Linked DNA regions of Callithrix jacchus. The protein of the gene in region 1 purifies or fractionates together with the protein of each later gene. This does not show direct contact. Links are inferred from orthologs where the notes say so. Each region holds a gene or a part of one and is shown in the gene's direction. Other genes may lie near its edges. The genes, in order: PHLPP2, USP1, USP12 and USP46.

Evidence for each region.
Region 2: the proteins of PHLPP2 (region 1) and USP1 purify together in Homo sapiens (affinity purification with mass spectrometry; 3 studies listed by BioGRID and IntAct, with this or other methods). This does not show direct contact. The link is inferred for Callithrix jacchus from reciprocal best matches to the Homo sapiens genes PHLPP2 and USP1.
Region 3: the proteins of PHLPP2 (region 1) and USP12 purify together in Homo sapiens (affinity purification with mass spectrometry; 3 studies listed by BioGRID and IntAct, with this or other methods). This does not show direct contact. The link is inferred for Callithrix jacchus from reciprocal best matches to the Homo sapiens genes PHLPP2 and USP12.
Region 4: the proteins of PHLPP2 (region 1) and USP46 purify together in Homo sapiens (affinity purification with mass spectrometry; 4 studies listed by BioGRID and IntAct, counting the BioPlex papers as one, with this or other methods). This does not show direct contact. The link is inferred for Callithrix jacchus from reciprocal best matches to the Homo sapiens genes PHLPP2 and USP46.

The regions. Positions count from the first base shown.
Region 1 is NC_133521.1:30,249,479-30,253,045, forward strand, and holds part of PHLPP2 (PH domain leucine-rich repeat-containing protein phosphatase 2), read left to right. Parts: intron 1-915; coding exon 916-1,026; intron 1,027-1,854; coding exon 1,855-2,049; intron 2,050-3,567. UniProt on the Homo sapiens protein: Protein phosphatase involved in regulation of Akt and PKC signaling.
Region 2 is NC_133508.1:99,537,362-99,540,928, forward strand, and holds part of USP1 (ubiquitin carboxyl-terminal hydrolase 1), read left to right. Parts: intron 1-233; coding exon 234-394; intron 395-1,866; coding exon 1,867-2,552; intron 2,553-3,567. UniProt on the Homo sapiens protein: Negative regulator of DNA damage repair which specifically deubiquitinates monoubiquitinated FANCD2. Also involved in PCNA-mediated translesion synthesis (TLS) by deubiquitinating monoubiquitinated PCNA.
Region 3 is NC_133506.1:146,334,772-146,338,911, reverse strand, and holds the start of USP12 (ubiquitin carboxyl-terminal hydrolase 12), read left to right. Parts: upstream 1-1,315; 5' UTR 1,316-1,542; coding exon 1,543-1,590; intron 1,591-4,140. UniProt on the Homo sapiens protein: Deubiquitinating enzyme that plays various roles in the regulation of the immune response and inflammation.
Region 4 is NC_133504.1:143,992,238-143,995,804, forward strand, and holds part of USP46 (ubiquitin carboxyl-terminal hydrolase 46), read left to right. Parts: intron 1-490; coding exon 491-704; intron 705-2,384; coding exon 2,385-2,614; intron 2,615-3,567. UniProt on the Homo sapiens protein: Deubiquitinating enzyme that plays a role in behavior, possibly by regulating GABA action. May act by mediating the deubiquitination of GAD1/GAD67.

The DNA.
Region 1 (3,567 bases):
ATTGTACCAAGACTTCATTGTATCAAAGTAGTTAAAGAAATAGATGGTTGACTAAAACTTAGAAATCTTTGCCGTGCTTAGTTTTTGATTGAAACTCCTACTCCTTTGTTCCTTCTACCCATTTCCTTTCTCTCCCCTCCTCCTTTGCCAGTAGTTCAGCATACTACTTTCATCCATCTCTCTAGAAATGCATTTTAGTCTGTCCATAGATTATTTTATTAAAAGATACGTTATTGTTGGCCAGGTGCAGTGGCTCACGCCTGTAATCCCAGCACTTTGGGTGGCTAAGGTGGGTGATCACTTGCGGTTAAGAGTTCAAGACCAGCCTGGTCAACATGGCGCAACTCCCATCTCTATTAAAAATACAAAATAAGCCAGGCGTGGTGGCTCACCCCTGTAATCCCAGCACTTTGGGAGGCCCAGGCAGGTGGATCATTTGAGGTCAGGAGTTTGAGACCAGCCTCGTCATCATGGTGAAACCCTGCCTCTACTAAAAATATAAAAGTTAGCTGGGCATGGCGGCAGGCACCTGTAATCCCAGCTACTCAGGAGGCTGAGGCAGGTGTGTCGCTTGAACCTAGGATGTGAAGGTTGTAGTAAGCCGAGATCGCACTACTGCATTCTAGCCTAGGCGACAGAGGGAGACTTTGTCTCAAAAAAAGAAAGAAAGAAATACAAAAATTAGCTGGGTGTGGTAGCGCATGCCTGTAATGTCAGCTGCTCGGGAGGCTGAGGCAGGAGAATTGCTTGAACCTGAGAGGTGGAAGTTGCAGTGAGCAGAGATCATACAACTGCACTCCAGCCTGGGTGACAAGAGGGAGACTTGGTCTCAAAAAAAAAAAAAAAAAAATTGTTGGGATAGTTTTTGTAAAAAACAGTTGAGCATATTGTTTAATCTTCCCTCACCTCCCACAGCCATATCACAACCCTGAAAATTGATCAGAAACCTTTGCCAACCACAGATTCTACAGTTACATCAACCTTCTGGAGCCACGGACTGGCTGAGATGACAGGGCAGAGAAATAAGTGAGTATATTAGCCATGGAGACTGAGAAAGAAAAAATGGCAGCCCCTGGCATCTGAGAACTGGTCTGATGCTCATAATAGCTAGGCCATGTTATTCTGTTGTACAAAAGTCATAGAACATCAGTGTCAGATAAGATCCTTTTGAGACCATGATAAAGTTTTAAGACAAAAACAACACAAATATATAGTCAACAAAATACCAAAAACCCCCTTTCATGGCTAAGATGGGTAGATGCTACTTTCTTTACTGGTTACAGCTTTATCCTTCTGCTAATTTTCTTTCCCTATAGATAAGATTTATACCCAGCCATAGAATGGCCCCACTTTCTGATGACACCTAGTCTAGTGTGATCCTCTTCCTTATACCCTCCCCAGCCAAAGTTCAAACCCTCTAGTTGGTTCTTTTCAGCACTCCTTATCTGTATACCCCAGGGTCCATGGGGTGCATATTCATTTGCTATAACGAGTAATAAACGCAGCTTTTTCAACCATAGGTGTGCTCTGGTGATCTTTGGCTGATGAGCCTTGACAAAACTAATCCTTAGTTGCCACTAAGAGAAAGTGTTTTATCTTACCAGCCTTCCGCAGCATTGCAAAGCTGATATGTACTGCCGGTGAATGTGGCTGTTTCCCCTTTCCTTGGGACATTAGCTCTTTCAGATGTTGCTTAATTATCATGTCTAAGGACTTTTTATGTGTAGATTACAATTTGCTACTGGTCCTCTCCACCTTTAATTAATACTTACTTTTTAAAAGAATGGTCCCTAAAGAATAATACTTTACCAGTAACTTTTTTTGATGATTGTGTTTCTCATATTTCTGTTATAGGCTGTGTGTCTCAGCGCTTGCAATGGATAACTTTGCAGAAGGGGTGGGAGCTGTGTATGGCATGTTTGATGGGGATCGAAATGAGGAGCTCCCACGCCTGCTCCAGTGTACAATGGCAGATGTGCTTTTAGAAGAGGTGCAGCAGTCAACTAATGACACAGTTTTCATGGTTAACACCTTCTTGGTATCTCACAGGTAAGCAGGTGGGTTGAATAATCCCTAACTCAGTTCTACTTTTAGAAAATATATCTTATTTATTTATTTTTATTTACCAGATGTTGGTTAGCAGACATTTCCAAGAAAATGTATCTTTCTAAACCAGAAGGTCAGGGTCTAAATTACGGTTACAGGATCAAGGAGAGAACTCAACATTGTTGTCTTCTATTATCATTCTCTATATCAGAATGGAGTGTGGGGCTTTGGCTCTTTAAAAAGCCTGTGACTTCATCTGTTTTTTTCTGTTGAATCCAAAGGCTGCTGAGGATCTGGGAGCCCAGAATTTATATGCAAAAGGTTGTGTGTGTATATATATATGTGGCTGTACATTTTGAGGAGGAAGGTGCTCAGCTTTCATAAGATTGTCCAAGGAGTCAGTGACCTACAAAAGGTTAGCCAAAAACTCCTCAGATTCATATGCTTAGAATCCCTGTTTCTGGGGTTTTACCCAACTAGTCTAAGTAAAGTCTAAACCACTTAAGGGCAAAAACTCTATGCAGATGCTCCTCAACTTACAATAGGGTTACATCTTGATAAACCCATCGTAAGTTGAAAATACGGTAAGTGGAAACTTCATTTAATATACCTACCCAACCAAACATCATGGCTTCACCTAGCCTACATTAAATGTTCTCAGAACACTTACCCCATTAGCTTATAGTTTGGCAAAATCATCTGGTGCACAGGGCACTGTATTAATTGTTTAGCCTTGTGATCAAGTGGCTGGCTGGTAGCTGTGGCTCGCTACCTCTGCCCAGCATCATGAGAGAAGATCATACCACATGTCACTAGCCCAGGAAAAGATCAAAATTCAAAGTACAGTTTCTACTAAATGCCTGCAGTATTGCTTTTCATCATTGTGAAGTCAAAAAACCTTAAGTTGAACCATTGTAAGTTGAGGATATCTATATAACCTAACTGTAATGGAGCATTTGCATATCAGGTGGACTGATAAAGGGTATGAATAACTGAGAGGTTGTTAAGTTGTATAGTTCAGGTTGAAATGGAACAGCCTGGATCTTGAACTAGTTTTATCTGTCATAACACAAAGCAAAGCGTTAGGAAGGAGTTTTTTTCAGTAGTAGAATTGAGCTAGAGACTTCATAAAATAAAGGGTTTAGGGAAGGGAACTCAATTTATGAAACAACTCTTGAGCCAGGAGCTGTAGTAAGTATTTTTCATACTATATGTTTTATCAGAGAAATTTCTAGGAGAAATCACTTGCTGAGGGTCTGTAGCCAGGAAGTGGCAGAGCTGGGATTGAAACTAGGTCTTTCTGCCAGTTTCTTAGGATTGTTTCCAAGTACAGGCACATGGATGCCCTGCATGCAGGGGAAAATTTAAGACTCGTGGGCCTTCCCTCAAGGAACTTATAGCCTAAGTGAATGGTTCTCAAAGTGTTGTTGTAGGACCAGCAGCCTCAGCATCACCAGAAATTTCTTGGAATGCAGTTTATTGAACCAGCCTCTTACCCACTGAATCAGAAACTCTGGGGCT
Region 2 (3,567 bases), on another chromosome or scaffold:
GCCCAGGAGGTTGAGGCTGCAGTGAGCCTCGATCAAGCCATTGCACACTCCAGCCTGGGCAACAGAGACTCTGTCTCAAAATAAAAAAAAAATAAGGTTGATTTGTCTATCCCATAAAATTAGTGCTATAATGCAACTTAGAAAAGCTAGTAAAGTGAGACAAAGACAAATGAAGAAGGCACTTAATTTGTTCACAAATAAAATTATTGGTTTGTGTGTTTCTTTCTTGACAGGGAAATTGCAAAGAAGATTCTTTGGCAAGTTATGAATTGATATGCAGTTTACAGTCCTTAATCATTTCGGTTGAACAGCTCCAGGCTAGTTTCCTCTTAAATCCAGAGAAATACACTGATGAACTTGCCACTCAGCCACGGCGACTGCTTAACACACTCAGGTATAGCCTATGATATAATTTTAGGGTTTCAATTTAGCTACTTGTTTATATCCTTGGAGGAGAATGATATGTGAACAAACAGAAATAAAGGGCAAGGAAAGTAAGAAACTCTAGGTCCACAGTCCTTTATATCCCAGAGGCTCTGAATACTGGAATTTTTTTTCATAAATTTGGTGCTAAATTCGTTAGATCTGAATATATTAGGCTTTTTATAGTCATTATTCATATTTATCTCTAATGTGAATATTCATACATCCTTCTATAGAAATAGGATCATGTTTAATTATAGAGTACTACCATATCATGTTGGTGATAAATATTTTACTTATACGTCGTATTATCTTTGAATCTGAAAATGTCTGAATTTCTAAATGCATGGTCCTCAGATTAGGAGTTATAGAACTATATTCAAAATATGTGTAAGAACCGTAAGTTCCAAATAATGTATTTTTGTTAATATGTGATTAGAGGAGAACTATTGGATAACTGGATTAGATTGCTTTTTGTTATTTTCTTAAAAATGAAACTTTATATATATAAAATAGCCTTATTCAAATAAAGTTATACTAATAGGGCAAGTCTTTAAAACAATCACTTAAGCATTTAGTTTAGAAATAGAACTAGGTGCAGTGTATTGCTACACCTTAGTTAAGAGGTATTGTAGGCTGGGCATAGTGGCTCACACCTGTCCCAGCACTTTGGGAGGCTGAAGTGGGTGGGTCATTTGAGGTCAGGAGTTCGAGACCAGTCTGGCCAACATGGTGAAAACCCACCTCTACTAAAAATAGAAAAATTGGCTGGGCATGGTGGTTCACACCTAAAGTCCCAGCTTCTTGGGAGGCTGAGGCAGGAGAATTGTTTGAACCCAGGAGGTGGAAGTTGCGGTGAGCCAGATTGCAACACTACAGTCCAGCCTGGGAGACAGAGCAAGTCTCCTGTCTCCAAAATAAAAAAGTATTATAACATGGTAACCAAGAGTGGGGTTTGACTACTGGCTTTTCATCCTAACTAGTTCTGTGACCTTGGGCAAGTTATTTAACCGCTGTGTGCCTCAGTGGCTATATCTATCTGACAATAGTGGTGGTGTAATAGTCCCTTATAGGGTACTATTGCTATTATGAAGATAATGTATATGTAGGAGATAAAGCATTTTGACTAAGACCTTGTATATGGTAAGCACTGTTAGTTATTAATATGTTTAGAAGAGGATCAAGTATATTAAATACATTATAAAATATATAAATATATTAAATATATTAATATATTTGGAAGAGGTTCAAAGTATTATAATGAAAAACAGATAAAATTTACTCTTTTAGTTTCAGGTAAGAAATTTCAAATTAGTGCTGAATGAGATTTAAAAATTAAATAATTTACAATATTCCTTACATGAATTCATTCCTATGTAGAAATAGTTTTATGTACTATATCTTTAAAACTAGAATAGATGAAATGGAAATTTTTATTTATAGGGAACTCAACCCTATGTATGAAGGATATCTACAGCATGATGCACAGGAAGTATTACAGTGTATTTTGGGAAACATTCAAGAAACATGCCAACTCCTAAAAAAAGAAGAAGTAAAAAATGTGGCAGAATTATCTACTAAGGTAGAAGAAATACCTCATCAGAAAGAGGAAATGAGTGGTATTAACAGCATGGAGATGGACAGTATGAGGCATTCTGAAGACTTTAAAGAAAAACTCCCAAAAGGAAATGGGAAAAGAAAAAGCGACACAGAATTTGGTAGCATGAAGAAAAAAGTTAAAGTATCCAAGGAACACCAGTCATTGGAAGAGAACCAGAGACAAACTAGATCAAAAAGAAAAGCTACAAGTGATACATTAGAGATTCCTCCTAAAGTAATTCCCAAGTATATTTCCGAAAATGAGAGTGCAAGAGCTTCACAAAAGAAATCAAGAGTTAAAATTAATTGGTTAAAGTCTGCAAATAAGCAACCCAGCATTCTTTCTAAATTCTGTAGTCTGGGAAAAATAACAACAAACCAAGGAGCTAAAGGACAATCTAAAGAAAATGAATATGATCCTGAAGAGGACTTGGGGAAGTGTGAAAGTGATAACACAGCTAATGGACTTGAATCTCCAGAAAATACTGTTATACCTGTAAATGTTAATGAAGTTAAACCCATAAACAAAGGTTAGTATAATTCTTAGACTTTGATAGGTAGGAGCATTAACAGCTATAGAATTAGAATTTTCTCTTCTTAGATACATATATAATATAATCTATGCATAAAATTGTTTCAAGAGAAGGAAATTTAACACTGAATGTGAACTATGGTGTTCTAAGTGCTATGCTTAAATTAGTGTGTGTGTGTATATATATATAATGTCATGAAAGTAATTTTAACTTACAGTTTATAAAGTAGGGAAGTTCAGCTGGGCCACGGTAGCTCACACCTGTAATCCCAGCACTTTGGGAGGCTGAGGCAGGTGGATCACCTGAGGTCAGGAGTTCAAGACTAGCCTGGTCAACATGGCGAAACCCCATCTCTACTAAGAATACAAAAATTAGCCAGGCATGGTGCATGCCTGTAGTCCCAGCTACTCAGGAGGCTGAGGCAGGAGAATGAGGCCGAGGTTGCAGTGAGTCAAGATTGTGCCACTGCACGGTAGCCTGGGTGACAGAGCAAGACTCTGTCTCAAAATAAAAAAGTAGGGAAGTTCAGTATATCTTAACGTACATTTAAAAGTACATTTCCCTTTATGCAGTGTTTGATGTAAACTCATGAAGGACATTGTATTCAGTGAAATATTTAAAGTAGAGACGAAGTACAGTCATGTTGCTTAACAACGGGGATATGTCTTGAGAAATGTGCTGTTTCATTGTGCGAATGTCACAGTTTACTTATACAACTAGACGGTAGAGCATACTACACAACTAGCCTATGTGGTATAGACCAGGGGTGTCTAATCTTTTGGCTTCCTTGGGCCACATAGGAAGAAGTGTCTTGGGCCACACACAAAATATACTAATGGTAGCTGATGAGCAAAAAAAAAAAAAAAATCACAAAAAAGTCTCATAGTGTTTTAAGAAAGTTTATGAATTTGTTATGGGCTGCAGGCAAGCTTTGAATGGCCTATTGCTGTTAGGTAACCTGTACATCATATAACTATAGTGAATACTGTAGGCAACTATAGCACAGTGGTAT
Region 3 (4,140 bases), on another chromosome or scaffold:
TTCAGCAATTAGAAAATATCACGGGTCGGGCGCGGTGGCTCAAGCCTGTAATCCCAGCACTTTGGGAGGCCGAAGCGGGCGGATCACGAGGTCAGGAGTTCATGACCAGCCTGACCAACATGGTGAAACCCCGTCTCTACTAAAAAAATACAAAAATTAGCCCGACGTGGTGCCACACGCCTGTAACCCCAGCTACTGGGGAGGGTAAGGCAGGAGAAACGCTTGAACCTGGGAGGCAGGGGTTGCGGTGAGCCAGGAACACGCCATTGCACTCCAGCCTGGGCGACAGAGACTGTGTCTCAAAAAAAAAGAGCTTTTTAACATCATAATTTATGAAGCTATTCCACTCACTTGAACTACTTTCTCAAATAGGAAAAAATAAAGCTGAGCTGCCAGACACGATGAACTGGGTGCAATGATGAATTTTATAAGAGGAGAAAAGAGGAACTACCCATGCCAGTAGCCAGCACTGCCTGAGGATTTCTCACAGGGCATTTTTCTTGCTTGCGGGCTTCTTGTTTCTGGTAATATCATCATCACTGCTGGCTTGAGATCTTCTCTATTCTGTAGCACAATGTGCAGATATTTAGAAACCTATTCTAAATTTATGGGCAACAGGCCGACAGGATTCGTTGCTCTCCCCACTTCCCCCATTACTTATCTTTCTTCTTAATTCAAAGAGTTAAACGTGTAATTTGTTCTTTGCCGCTTCATTTTTATTTGATTATTTTGTCTTTTTCTAAGTTGTGTTTGACTCCAGGAATTCATCCAATACACGGAAAAAGAAACCAAGTTCTTGGGACGCATACCTGGGTTATCTTAACTGTGCAGAGCATGTTTCCTCCCACTCCGCACGAAGTTACCCAGATCATCGCCTCCGTTTTCTGTTTAGGCAGCGGGAGATCACTATAGCCTCGCCCGCGGTGGGTGTCGCAGTCTGGCCCCTCCCGGGTTCTCCCAGGTCGCCGCAGCCGCCCCCGCGACTCCTCGCCGCCCCTCTTCCTACGAGGGGGCTCGGGCGCCCGGCACTAGGACCGCAGGGACGCAGGCAAAAGACAGTGCCCGCCCTCGGTCCCGCCCTCGGCCTCGCGCGGGGTGGGGCCGGGCAGGAGTTCCTTGGCTCGCGCTCCCGGGCCGCCGAGGGGGGCGCCGAGGGGTGGGCGGGGCTGCGCCGCCGGGCCGCGCTGCTGCCTGGCAGGCCGGGCATTAGGGCCTCAGCGGAGTCCGCTCCCCTGCGCGCTGGGCGGGGTGGGCGGCGGGCGGCTTCGCGGGCAGGCGCGGGCCCGGAGGCAGCGGCTGCGCCCTGCGCCGGGGCGGAGCCGGGGGCGGGCCGGCGGCCGGCAGGCGGGGGGCTGGGGCCCGAGGCCGGGAGTGCCTGAGCGCCGGCGGCGACGACGGCAGCGGCGGCCCAGCGGGCTCGGTGCGTGGGTCCGCTGCGGCTCGGGGTCCGCCCGCGGGCTGCAGTGCGAGCGGGCGGCCCGGCTCCCCTCATCCCCCGCCCGCCGCCGCCGCTGTGATTGGGTGGAAGATGGCGCTGGGCGGATGGAAATCCTAATGACAGTCTCCAAATTCGCCTCCATCTGTACCATGGTAGGTGCAGCGGGCGGGCGGCAGGGGCAGCCGGGACCTCTCGGGCGGGCGGACGGCGCTGGACCCGTTTCTCCCTGTGGCCGCTCGCGGGGCCTAGCGCGGGGGCGGGCGTGCGGGCGGCCCGGGTGGGGGCGGTCGGACGGCGCTCGGGCGGGGAGCGCGGGGGTGAGCGGCCCAGGCGTCCGGGGAGGGGGCGCCGCCTGGCGGGCCGGGGCTGCGCGAGGGTGGCGGTGAGGGGCCCACGGTGCGGGACGCGGCGAGGGGTGGGCACTGGCCTCCGGGAGTCCCCGACCGAACTGCTGGTGTCCGCGCCGGGCCAAGGGCCGAAGCGCGCCTGGCCTGTGGCGGGGCAGCGGGTGGGCGCGCAGGAGCCCGAGCGCGGCCCTGGGCCAGGGTCGCCGAGGAGGGGGCGAGGAGCTGCGGAGCCGCGAGGGCTCCATTTCCTCCTGGCCGCGCGCCGAGAGGGAGGTGTCCCCGGGCGGGGTGGGGGTCGGCGGGCAGGAAGGAAGGGTCTCTGCCGGGGCGGGCTGCGCTCTTTCCCGCCAGGGAGAGGACGGAAGTCAAGTGCAGATTTCCTCGCGCCGCTGGCCGGGCCGAGTCCCCGACCCCGCGCTGGCGGAAAGGGGCGTATGTAAAGATGGAAACTTTAAATAAGTGTTGTTGAAATTCTCTCCATTTTTCTCTTCGGAGAGGCACGAGCTCTCGTTTCCAGCCGTGTGTCCAGGTGGCAGTCTTGTCTGTGGGAATGCACGTTAATCTTTAAAAGCATTAGCTTTCCTGTCATTTGTTTACTTCGGCCCACCAGACACATCTGTATGTGGTGAAGCTACGTCTGTCTGTGTGCGGGGACCGCCTGCCAATGCGATGATATTTGTTTTCTTAGGGCGCTTAAATAGACTATAAAGGAAAAGCGCTAATCCTCGCTGGAAGTCCCGAATTAAGCAAAACGTGGGCGCGTTTAAAACTTGGTGTTTTGTGCTTGGCCAGAAGGACCACAGTTTTCCACATGATGAGACAAATTCGTTTCATTAGCGCCTCATGAGCTTATATGTAGGGATCATAATTTATGAGTCATCACCGAAAAAAGTTGTTCTTTGCAACGTGGACCTATTGGTTGTTATTAAAGACTTCTGAAAGCTTGTGTTTGATGCCTCACTGGCCCTATTTATGCAACCGATTTCATATAGGAGAGCCTCAAGCAATTTTCCATCTAAGGATGGTCCATTGTGTATATTTTTCTTTGAGGAGTGGTGAATCTGATCGGAAAGATGCTTTAAAAGCAGATTCTCTACTGCATGCTGAGGAACAGTACAAAAAATGGCTGAAATCAGCTGGACATAAAATCGACAATATTTAAGAAATCATATTGAAGACTCCATTTCCCAACTGGATGGTGGTTCTTTCTCAAAGTTTACGTTTTAGGAAGGCATTGGTATTAAATGGACTATTTTAAAGTGATTTTCAAGAATTGTTTGGGCTAATTATTTTCAGATACGCCAATTATTATCTTACTCAGTTTCAAAAGAATGCGATAATTAGGTCTTTTACAGTGATACCAGATTGCTGATCTACACACATTGTAATGATCATAGTTCACTGTCAAAGAATGGGATTTCAGGAGTGGTGTGATACTCTTATTCATTCACTCAGGTACTGTACATCTACGTTTAGCAGCTACTAGGTGCTAGAGGTGGGGCTGAGTGCTGGGGATGCTGTAGTGGTCAGGATAGCCCCGGCTTTCATGGTGTTTACGTTCTTCATGGACACAAACTGTATTTAAATTAATATATTAATAAATATGTGCTGTAATCACATTAGGACAGTGAGACACAGGGATTTGCCAGCGTCGCACACTTAGTAAGTGGGATTCTGATCTCCAAGATCAGAATCGGGAGCTCTTTCTAGGGCTTCCACCCAGATGCATTAATTACAGGTGGGGTGTGTGTATTGTTGGCAAATACTGAAAGTGCCTGGCCGAACGAGATTGTTCAAAAGGTACTATTAAAATTGGGTGTGTCTTTATTCGTATTTGAATACATTCTAATGTACCCTCAAATAGTGCTAAATATCTCAAAGTAGTTTGCAGTCTTATTCTTTAAAGAAAATGCTATCTGTCCTCTTGAGAATCACAAAATTGAAAAACAAAGATACCTCTTTAGCTTTGTAGGTGCCGTTTTGCTAGGCTTGGAATGCTTCCTCTGCCCTACCCCCCATCCTTGTATTGCGAGGATGTGTACCTCTTAAGCAGGGAGCTTTACTTGAATAATCCTACCCCTCTCCAACCCAACCCTCCATCCCCCTCATACAACTTCATGCCATTTTTGAAATGTCAGTAGCACCTATCATATTTAAACTGTGTAGTATATTTTTCTTTGAACTCTTACTCAGTTGTGAGGGCCTTGAAGGGGAAGAACTATCAGACTATCATTTACATTTACTTCTACAGTTTGATCTGGAGTACTAAGTTCTGCATTCAGTATAAAAGTGTTAAAAGTCCTTCCTATCTCCTGGAATGCCGGGTGAAGCAGGGATGATACTGGGTGTGTGTGT
Region 4 (3,567 bases), on another chromosome or scaffold:
AAAACCAGCCCCCGTTCAGCTTTGGCTGTTTCAGCCAAGCAAGTGGTTCCTAATTACTGGATTTCTCTTTGATTCATATTTTTATTTTCCCTGTCGTGGGAGTTTTGGTGTGTTGCAATGTGCATCTTTTATTTAGCCAGCTGTTTTCCTGGGTCTCCACATTATGTAGATTTTTTTTTCTTTCTCTTTTTTTAAGCACCAGCAGGTCTCATTAGACTCTTTATTGAGACAGAGTGCTTATTATCATTTTAGAGACTTTGATGGGCTAGAGAAGCACCAGAATGATGTGCATTTTTCTTCACTTCTCTCTTGATCAGATGGCCACTAGTGTTTAGAGTAGTTAACTAGTTTTCTAATATGGTGAGCTGGACTCAATACAGGGACAGCTGGGCCAGTTCCTAGAGCAGGGACCTGCTCACCCTCACTACTTATTCCAGAGGTGGCTCATCCCCAGGCGATGACTTGAACCATCCCTTTTGTCCCTTGGCAGTTTGGAAACACATGCTACTGTAACTCCGTGCTTCAGGCGTTGTACTTCTGCCGGCCGTTCCGGGAGAATGTCTTGGCATACAAGGCCCAGCAAAAGAAGAAGGAAAACTTGCTGACGTGCCTGGCGGACCTTTTCCACAGCATTGCCACGCAGAAGAAGAAGGTTGGCGTCATCCCACCAAAGAAGTTCATTTCAAGGCTGAGAAAAGAGAATGGTGAGTAGTATGCATTATAATGCGTTTAAGGCTCTGAAATAAAGAGAATTGACGGTTCTACTCCTCAAAAGCACAAGCTGGGATTTTTTTGAAAAGGGAAAATAAGCATGGTCAATTACTCAGTGTTATTTTTTAAGAAACAACATTCTTCTCTACCCAGTAGACATAAAACAAAACTGGATTAGAAACACGCTTAAACATGCACAATTATCATCCCAGTTTAGAATGACTTTTTATTTGCTCCATTCTGGGCAGGATCATTGTAAGAGAAAAGAGTGTCCAAGGCAGCCTTCCGAGTGGGATACTCATTGTGATAATTGAATAAAATAGTACTGGCTTAAAAGCTTATCATAAGTGATTAAAATAAGTGCCTATTATCTAATCAGAGCTTCTGCTGTTTTAAATATAATGCCTGATTTTCATTTGCCTAAGGTAATTGAAGGATATCAAATTGATTGCTTTATGTGATTTTTCAAAGTCCGGATTTTCCTCGTTTTTCTATCTTAGCTTTTAGGGGATTGTTGGGAGAAACTAGGTGTGTATTCCAGAAGTTTTGTATGAGCAATTTTTATGACTATAAAAGTATTTGTTACGGCAATTACTATTTACTTATATCCACCCTTACTCCATCAGATGTGCCTGGTTAATCAGGTATTTGTTTTATAAAGTGTTGTTTAACTTGATTGCTGTCTTTTGAAGTTACAGTTTATACATATCAGAATAAAAATTAATTTGAGTGGAGAAGGAAGCAGAGCACTCTGTCTAGTTGTGAACATGATTAATAATGAAGGTTCACAGCTGCATTCATCTCTTGATTGTTTGTCCTTATGGCAGGGAGCAGCAGTAGGCTTCTGGAATCATTCGTATTCAGTTTCAGAACATTATCAGATAGATGCCTGCTCACACATATCCCTCATCTCCCATCTGTGTTTCATCTAAGCTGCTTCCAGGCTGGTCCAGGGTTTAATATGGTCTTTGAAAAGAGACCCCAGTTGCTCTGAATAAATTACTCAATGAATAATTAATTGATCATTGGTGAATACATCATATTAAAAATTGGTATTTTATCAGGGAACTTGTCTGGTAACTTCTGTTCTTTTGTAGAACAAATAAAACTTGGTAGTTTTATATAAATGTGATGACTCCAGGGAGATATGGCAAATTTGTTCTTGATGGGTGGCAGAAAATGGAAATACATTTAAAAATTATTTGGAAGCTTACTCATTGAAGCTGCCTGGTAGAGTATATTTATATTCCATGCCTTTCAGTATAAAAATTGAAGTATGGGCTGGGCACGGTGGCTCAAGCCTATAATCCCAGCACTTTGAAAGGCTGAAGTGGGTGGATCCTGAGGTCAAGAGATGGAGCCCATTCTGGCCAACATTGTGAAACCCCGTCTCTACTAAAAATACAAAAATTAGCTGTAGGTGGTGGTGTGTGCCTGTAATCCCAGCTACTCAAGAGGCTGAGGCAGGAGAATCCCTTGAACCCGGGAGGCAGAGGTTGCAGTGAGCCAAGATCACACCACTGCACTGCAGCCTGGCGACAGTGCAGTGTGAGACTCTGTCGCCAGACTCCGTCTCAAAAAGAAAAAAAATTGAAGTCTGGCATGTAACATTTGAGTAGATCCATTTGCTTTTTAAGAACCAAAGACTGAAATAACTACCTTCTCCTTTCCAGATCTCTTTGATAACTACATGCAGCAGGATGCTCATGAATTTTTAAATTATTTGCTAAACACTATTGCGGACATCCTGCAGGAGGAGAAGAAACAGGAAAAACAAAACGGAAAATTAAAAAATGGCAACATGAACGAACCTGCGGAAAATAACAAACCAGAACTCACCTGGGTCCATGAGATTTTTCAGGGAACACTCACCAATGAAACTCGATGCTTGAACTGTGAAACTGTAAGTGCTAGGGGAGCTCTCATGTAACTCACATGTTCATATTCAGGTAGGCTGTGTTGCATGTGATTGCAATGTGGTATTAGAGCATTTAGCAGTTATTTGCAGTGTATGTAAATGATCCTGTTTGTGCATGTGAAACTCAAGGGCAAACTTTTGGAAGCATATATCCATCCAAGATGTCTCAGCAGGCTGAAGCTGAGTAATGAAGGAAAATCTCCTCATATGCTGAATTGTTTTGCACCATGGGCAAATTTTGGGGTCTGCAGATTTACCTATTGAACTGTATGTCAACCAGTTATCTTGCAATTTGGTCATAGGGAGGTCATGTGTGGTGTAGAATGGGACCATCACCTCAGTTCAGAGGCAGTTAGCTGTGGTATGTTGAAGTCAGAAGACAGGCTACACTCCTGTTTCTGTAGCAGTTAACTGGGTATTTGGGGCAAGTTACTTACAGCACTCTTGAGGGTTGAATGAGCTTATGTGTTTGGATGGGTCTGGCACGTGGTAGGCACTTAATGTTAATTGAATTTGAAGACATGTTCTCCAAAGCATGATTCAGGATGTCATATTTGCTTGGCATGTTTAACTTCAACCCTGTGGGTGGCCTCATATTTTGCTGCTTAAGAGCTGAGCCCTGGAGCCAGGCTGCCCAAGTTTGTATGCTGGCTTTTCCACTTAATAGCTAGTGGATCTTGAGCAAATTATTAATTTTCTCTCTCCTCACTTTCCTCATCAATAAAATGAGGATGATGGGAGTGCCCATCTTGGAGGGTTGGTGGTAGGATTAAATGAGTTGACACCTAGAGCCATGCTTGGCACCTGGCAAGTAGGCAGTAAATGCCAGCTACTATTATTTATTATAACTACTGCTGACAACAGAGAAAGTCTGGGTTCATTGGGGATCTCAGAGTTTCTTGACATTGTATGAAAAATTCTATAGGATTGTGCATTTT